2 linked regions of the Macaca mulatta genome follow. The protein of the gene in region 1 purifies or fractionates together with the protein of each later gene. This does not show direct contact. Links are inferred from orthologs where the notes say so. Each region holds a gene or a part of one and is shown in the gene's direction. Other genes may lie near its edges. The genes, in order: ZNF462 and CBX5.

The links.
Region 2: the proteins of ZNF462 (region 1) and CBX5 purify together in Homo sapiens (affinity purification with mass spectrometry; 3 studies listed by BioGRID and IntAct, counting the BioPlex papers as one, with this or other methods). This does not show direct contact. The link is inferred for Macaca mulatta from reciprocal best matches to the Homo sapiens genes ZNF462 and CBX5.

Annotation. Positions count from the first base shown.
Region 1 is NC_133420.1:51,461,077-51,464,889, reverse strand, and holds part of ZNF462 (zinc finger protein 462), read left to right. Parts: coding exon 1-376; intron 377-1,142; coding exon 1,143-1,307; intron 1,308-1,465; coding exon 1,466-1,582; coding exon of another isoform or gene 1,583-1,606; exon of another isoform or gene 1,607-1,818; intron 1,819-2,562; exon of another isoform or gene 2,563-2,684; intron 2,685-2,879; coding exon of another isoform or gene 2,880-2,882; coding exon 2,883-3,166; intron 3,167-3,813. UniProt on the Homo sapiens protein: Zinc finger nuclear factor involved in transcription by regulating chromatin structure and organization. Involved in the pluripotency and differentiation of embryonic stem cells by regulating SOX2, POU5F1/OCT4, and NANOG.
Region 2 is NC_133416.1:61,432,376-61,436,188, reverse strand, and holds part of CBX5 (chromobox protein homolog 5), read left to right. Parts: intron 1-3,548; coding exon 3,549-3,649; intron 3,650-3,813. UniProt on the Homo sapiens protein: Component of heterochromatin that recognizes and binds histone H3 tails methylated at 'Lys-9' (H3K9me), leading to epigenetic repression. In contrast, it is excluded from chromatin when 'Tyr-41' of histone H3 is phosphorylated (H3Y41ph).

The DNA of each region.
Region 1 (3,813 bases):
GGAGAGAAGCAGCTTTGAGAAAGCCGAGGTGGAGGGTGAAGCTCAGGAAATCGAGTGGCTCCCGTTCCGCTGCATCAAATGCTTCAAGCTGTCCTTTAGCACTGCAGAGCTGCTGTGCATGCATTATACTGACCACCACAGTCGGGACCTAAAGAGGGACTTCATCATTCTGGGCAACGGCCCCCGCTTACAGAACTCCACCTACCAGTGTAAGCACTGTGATAGCAAACTGCAAAGCACAGCCGAGCTGACCTCACACTTGAACATTCACAATGAGGAATTCCAGAAGCGTGCCAAACGTCAGGAGAGGAGGAAACAGCTTTTGAGCAAGCAGAAATATGCAGATGGTGCTTTTGCAGATTTCAAACAAGAGAGGGTAAGGATATGTTTTGATTTCCCTTCCCCCAGGAGGCCTCTCATCACTGGTGCCCACATGCACTTCTTCGTTGCCAGCCAAACTGCTGCAGGCTTCCTAGTGACTTAGCTTGCCAGAGAGCTCAATAAGTCAATTAAACATTTCGAGCTTGATTATCTCCCATTCTGTGCTCATCCCTCTCCTTGGTCCCGTTCCCCTCCCTCCTTCCCTTTGACTCCTCCCATGGCTCCCCAGGGGAGGTTTGGGGTGGTTTCTATGTATGTCTTTCTGCCAAGTAGCTTTATCTGAAGCCTAGTTTTACAACAACGCTCGCTCTTTCCTAAGGCAGTGTGGGCTGTCTCTTGGTACCATTAGCACTTCTCAGCCATGTCTTGGTCTTCAGTGTTTGCTACACGAACCTAACGTCTCCAGGAGTAGATTTTATTTTATCAAGAAGTTCATTAATGGCGCAACTATGCAACGTTTCACCTGCCTAGTTGAAACTGGTTTGAAAACCAGATAACTTAGTGGCAGTGACAATGAGCTTCTGCACAGAAATCTTCTCTACTCACAAGCCGTAACATATTTGGGTTCCAAAGACTTTGCATAGTAGGCAGCGTGCCATGATGCTGACAAATTTGTTATATAAAAATACTCGCCTATATCTCCCTTGGTTTTTAACCTGATAATCGGCTTTAAAATAAAATATGTTAATAAACTGCAAGAATAAATTCCGACAATTGAGGGAGGGCTCGGAGTACTGATGGCTACCACTGTATTTTACCAGCCTTTTGGTCACTTAGAAGAGGTGCCAAAGATCAAGGAGAGGAAAGTGGTGGGCTACAAATGTAAATTCTGTGTGGAAGTGCACCCAACGCTCCGAGCCATCTGCAATCACCTCCGAAAGCACGTCCAGTATGGCAATGTCCCAGCTGTGTCAGCTGCCGTGAAGGTGAGAACTGGAAGGTCTGGATGAGCATTCTTGTGTGTGAGCGATTCGAGTTACTTACTAACCCCATTGCCTAAAGCAGCTCAGGAAAGAGCATCTCAGAATGTGGGCATTCCTGAATTATACTTGGATTGGTTTGGCTTGTTTTGATTTCTTTGCAGGTTGGACCTTCCTCATCTTTCTGTTCAGGGAAAGGTCGAGTTTCGATCTGGTTTCCTTCCACGTGGATAGTTTGGTGGCAACAGAAGGTCCAGGATTCTCGGTCTAGGAGGCTTCAGGTCGTCCTTCTCTTCTGCGTTTAGTGCCATTAGCTCTTCGTTCTTCCAAGTTGCCCGAGCTCTTGAGAGGAATCAAGTGGGTTCTGTTCCCATCGTCTTCTGCTCCTCTTTCTTCCTGACTTCTTACTGTTCTCATCTGGCTGAGGATGCAGAAAGCCTAGGAGAATCTCTTTGTCTTCTTATCCTGGATCCTCTGGGGACTGCAAAAGACATTAAAACTAAAAGCATTCAAGTCACAACTGACCCTGAAAGCCTTGGTTTGTCTCCTCCATCCCCTTTCCCATATGATGCTGACAAATGTCTTCCCTTTTCCCTCTAACTTTTATTAGGCCACCTGTTTTGAACATCATAATCCTAATAGCAGCCACCACGTCAGTAACTAAGCCACCATCCCCATCTTCCAGAATATTGCTCAGCCCTATTATTTATTAAAACAGAAGTCATTTCAGCATTCTGCCCTTTCTCTATGGGTACATGAAAATATATTTTTGTCATCTGCCCTTCTTGAGCTTACATCCTATTTTGCCAATTTAACATGAAGATAAAGTCTCTACTCTTCTTCATTGAAGACTGAAGCTTTCTGTCTTTTGGCAGAACAGTGGCAACCCAGGGATATCAGCAGTCAGCTTCTTTCACACACCACTGCGGTGTGTCCCAGGCTCGTTTCCTGGGATCACGTGAGAGAGACAGAAGGGCTTTTCCCGTGTAATCAGTAACCCAAGGAACTATCTCGAAAAACAGGTGACTTAAAACTAGGCTGCTCCTTAATTTTTTGAATGGATTATGCAGCAGTCTCCAGTCATAGAGTGAAGTCACCATCTACAGGGTAGGGGGCAGACAGCAGGATCTTTTGCTTTGCTTCCTTTCCAGATAATGGCCCAAGGCTCCTCAATGACCATACTACTTTGCTTTTCATTCTCTTCCTTTCTTCCTCTCTTTTCTGTGAGCCACAACCCTAGCCCAATTTTATGTCATCTTAGATGGGATTGCAGTTGGAATTTTCTTTTAAGAAGGGGAAGAAGTGAGTGAAGTGTCTTCAGAGCGGGAGAAGCCCTTGTTCACATTTCGCAAGCAGTAGCAACCTGTGTCCGGGTATGTTGTTCTAAAATCACCTCCACTGCGTGAGGAATGACAGTTGGGCTTGCTCTCCCTCTAAAGGTAGCTGGAGAGGCAGGGGAGGAAGCTTTGACAAGAAGTGCTGTTGAGTTTGGGAGAATGAAGGGAGAAAAAGCTGGGGGCAATGATGATGGATATTTATTTTGTTGGTGGGGCATGTGTGTGTGTGTGGTTCTCTTAGCAGGAGGCGGATGACCCTGCCCACTTGTTCCTGGATGGATTGGAAGCAGCCAAAGACGCCAGTGGCGCCCTGGTGGGCCGGGTGGATGGTGAACACTGCTTGCTTGATGGAATGTTGGAGGATGAAACCCGGCCGGGGGGATACCATTGCAGTCAATGTGACAGAGTCCTGATGTCCATGCAGGGGCTGCGTTCTCATGAGAGGAGCCACCTGGCCCTGGCCATGTTTACCCGCGAGGACAAGTACAGCTGCCAGTATTGCTCCTTTGTTTCTGCTTTCAGGCACAAGTAAGTGCTATTGGGGGGTCACTAGTGGTTACTGGGGGAAGATGTCATAGTGGAAGGCACTAAGCTAAAGCAGAAGCTTGAATGAGTAAGAAGGCCCCACTCATGGTTCACACCTCCTGCTCTGTTACCTGGAGCTCAGTCACCTTTTCTGTAAAATGGGCCTGAGAACAGGAGATTGATCGGATGGCATTAGATCTGGCAAATGCAGGCATTTTAAAAATGAGAATTGGAGGAATTGCTATGATTTACCCAAAGGAAAAATGCGGCTGTGGAGAGTAGATGAGTCTCCTGATTCATCTGTCGAACATTCAGTCAAAATCTAGTCATTGTTTGAGGAAGTAAAGTCCATTTGGAAAACTGATCTGCGAAAGAGGTAAAATTAGGACTGTTAACCCGTGTGACCAAAGAAACGTTGCTTGCAATTTTTCAAGAGACCTTGAAAGGTAAAGAAGTTCATGGATGCCAAAGAGTTGCTTGACATACAGGGAGATTGAGGGGAGGGAGCTTCCCATTACTCATCACAGCTTTGAAAGTGTAAATTTGGAACAAGTGTGTAAGGCTTTTTGGGGCCATGGAAAGAGGGGTGGTTTTAAGAACAACTTTTTGTTGCTTTTCTCTTTCAGCCATATAAAAGAGAGATAAATATT
Region 2 (3,813 bases), on another chromosome or scaffold:
TCTCCTCCCGCCCCCAGCTTCCACTCCTTTCATTTATTTCAAGGTTATGAAGCCTTTTGTGGTGAAGGATGTATCATACACTTTACATTTAATAAAAGCATAAGTCTACTTCGGAATCTTCCAGCCTTCCAGAGTAGCAGCCACAATCATCCCTATTTATCTTCATTGTAATTAGATATATACCTTTCTAGAACATTAGTTCCTAACCCTGTCTACACATTATAATCACCTGGGGGGTACGTTGAAAAAATTTCTAGTGCCTAAGATGCACCCCAGACCAGTAAAATTAGAATTTTTTTTTTTTTTTTAAGACAGAGTCTTGCTTTGTCACCCAGCCTGGAGTGCAGTGGCACGATCTCACTGCAACCTCTGCCTCCTGGGTTCAAGCGATTCTCCTGCTTCAGCCTTCCTAGTAGCTGGGACTACAGGCACATGCCACCACACCTGGCTAATTTTTTGTATTTTTAGTACAGACAGGGTTTCACCATGTTAGCCAGAATGGTCTCAATCTCCTGACCTGGTGATCCAACTGCCTCGGCCTCCCAAAGTGCTGTGATTACAGGCGTGAGCCACCACGCCTGGCCTCTGTCATTTTTAAAAAGGAGCTGTCTGAATAATCTGGCTTAGAAGCACTGGCCAGTGCAGAGAGTTTTTGTTCTTAGGCCAGGTTCTGAAGCTGCCAACCTTGAAAACAACCCCCACATGTCCCTTACATCATAATGTTCATCTGGGGCCCCTGATAGCATTCTTAGCAGTACTGGCTGCTGTCAGGTAGACAGCTGAGATGATAGGTGATTGTATGTTTTAAAGGTACAGGAGGGGATTGTGTATCTTTTTTAAGACCCCTGGAGAAGAAATTTGTTAGTTTGCATTATGCCTGATTTAAGATTACTGCCTGTATGATGATTTTAGCATTTTCTTCGCCCCGGCTCCTTTTCAGCAACTTGAACATTTTTCTTCCATTTGCCTCCCCTTCCCTCCCTATGTAGCAAACTATTTTCAGTTGCCAGTTATGATTTACAACTTAGTCCATGTGCCAGCATTCCAGCTGTGAGCAGCTGTGTGAACATCTGGGAACTTCTTCCCCGTAAGCGCCCCTAAAAGAGGCTATGTTTTTAAAAGTCAGTATCTCTCATTGATCCATGCATGGAATTTCCTTCCAATTGTGGATTTTGGTATCTTTGGGGACCACCCGGACCCCAAATGCTTTGTATGTCTCAGAGGAAAGCAAGTGAACATAAGATCAAAGAGATTTTATTATGAAAATCAGGCAGTAGATATTTAGTTCATTTGGGCACCTCTAAATCTTTTTTTTGTGTTGTCACTGGAGAGGCTAACATTATCTTCCATAATAAAGTTTTTAAAAATTCTCTAGTTTAGGCCGGGTGTGGTGGCTCACACCTGTAATCCCAGCACTTTGGGAGGCTGAGGCATGTGGGTCACTTGAGGCCAGGAGTTCGAGACCAGTGTGGTCAACATGGTGAAACCATGTTGAAAATACAAAAATTAGTCAGGCGTAACTGGGTGTGATGGCTCCCGCCTGTAATCTCAGCACTTTTGGGAGGCCGAGGTGGGATGGATCACCTGAGGCCAGGAGTTTGAGACCAGCCTGGCCAACAAGGTGAGACCCCCATCTCTACTAAAAATGGAAAAATTAGCCAGGTGCAGTGGCATGCACCTGTAATCCCAACTACTCGGGAAGCTGAGGCAGGAGAATCACTTGAACCTGGCAGGCGGAGGCTGCAGTGAGCCGAGATTGCGCCACTGCACTTTAGCCTGGGCAACAGAGGGAGACTGTCTCAAAAAAAAAAAAAAAATTACCTGGCTTGTATAAAATTTTGCTTTTTGGCTCTCATCAGTATTATTACACCTGGATTAGAACCTGTGCTCCTTGTCTAGATTGTATTACTGCATTTAGACCAAGTTTCAGTACTCATCTCATCAATTATCAAATTTTCTTCTTTCTGTCTTAAGAGACAGGTTCTCACTATGTTGCCCACCATGGAGCACAGTGGCATGATCATAGCTCACTGCAGCCTCGAACTCCTGGGCCCTGGGCCTCAGCCTCCTGAGTTGGAGTAGCACACTTCAGGTGTGCACCACTGTGCCCAGCTAATTTACAGAGACAGTTGCCTATGCTGGTCTCCAACTTCCAGTCTCCTCCTGTCTCAGCCTCCCAAAGTGATGGGATTACAGGCATGAGTCACTGCACCAAGCCAGTTTTTTGTTTTTGTTTTCTTTTTTGTTTTTGTTTTCAATCACAGTCCAGTTCTGCCTTCTAATGCTAGCAATCATCTACATCCAGAGGGGATAGGCATTGACCCAGGGCCTTCTGTCCAACCAAGCATATAAGTATTGGTGTTTGTGATCTCTGAAATTTTGCTATTTAATAGTATTGGCCTTGCATAATTCTTATCTCTATTCTTTCATAAATATAGGCGACTGTGAAATGTGTTAAAATTATTGGTTAGTGTTAAGGTAAACTAAAAGTCTAAAAAAATAAAGATTGAGAGAGAGGTAGTATATTTGAAGTTCATAAGATGAAAAGATATAGTTAGGGTAAACAGGGTATTCTTTAACATTTCAGAAGCTTATTTACAATATTAAGGAGATTCCAAGTGAGTGGGATTAGAGGAATTCCTAGATGTTGACTCCAGAGTATCTTTTTTTTTTTTGAGACGGAGTCTTGCTGTGTTGCCTAGGCTGAAATTCTGTGGTGCGATCTCTGCTCACTGCAATCTCCGCATCCCAGGTTCAAGCAATTCTCCTGCCTTAGTCTCTCGAGTAATTGGGGTTACAGGCACCTGCCACCACGCCTGGCTATGTTTTTGTATTTTTAGTAGAGATGGGGTTTCACCGTGTTGGCCAGGCTGGTTTTGAACTCCTGAGCTTGTGATCCGCCCGCCTCGGCCTCCCAAAGTGCTGGGATTACAAGCGTGAGCCACCATGCCTGGCTGACTCCAGAATATCTTATAGGACATTAGAGACTTTTAGGGTTCACCTCCAATCTTCTGGAGGAATTCCAGGAAAGATAATCACATCTTTTTTTTTTTTGAGACGGAGTCTTGCTATGTCGCCCAGGCTGGAGTGCAGTGACCGGATCTCAGCTCACTGCAAGCTCCACCTCCCGGGTTCACACCATTCTCCTGCCTCAGCCTCCCGAGTAGCTGGGACTACAGGCGTCCGCCATCTCGCCCGGCTAGTTTTTTGTATTTTTTAGTAGAGACGGAGTTTCACTGTGTTAGCCAGGATGGTTTCGATCTCCTGACCTCGTGATCTGCCCGTCTCGGCCTCCCAAAGTGCTGGGATTACAGGCTTGAGCTACCGTGCCTGGCCGATAATCACATCTTACAAAAATATCTCTTGGCATCACTGTCACTTCATTGTCACTGTCAGTACTTAGTATTAAGTTCTAAAAATTTTTCTGAATTGGTGACAGAAATGATATCAGGAGATATTAACTTAGGTTGTGTTTTGTTGAGCCTAGAAACAGGGAGTTTCTTTACTCTTTCCACAAGCTGTAACCTTTCTTCGTCTTCTATTTATAGCAGAGCAATGATATCGCTCGGGGCTTTGAGAGAGGACTGGAACCAGAAAAGATCATTGGGGCAACAGATTCCTGTGGTGATTTAATGTTCCTAATGAAATGGTGAGAGAGATTTGGCTTCATGTTACAATTGTGTTTCTTTGCCAGTGACTTGAATTTGTGCGGAAGATAGGGTGGCAAGATTGTGTATTCCCAAACCATGAATTTTCAATGTCAGAGATTTTTTTTTTTTGAAACAGTGTTTCGCTCTTTGTTGCCCAGGCTGG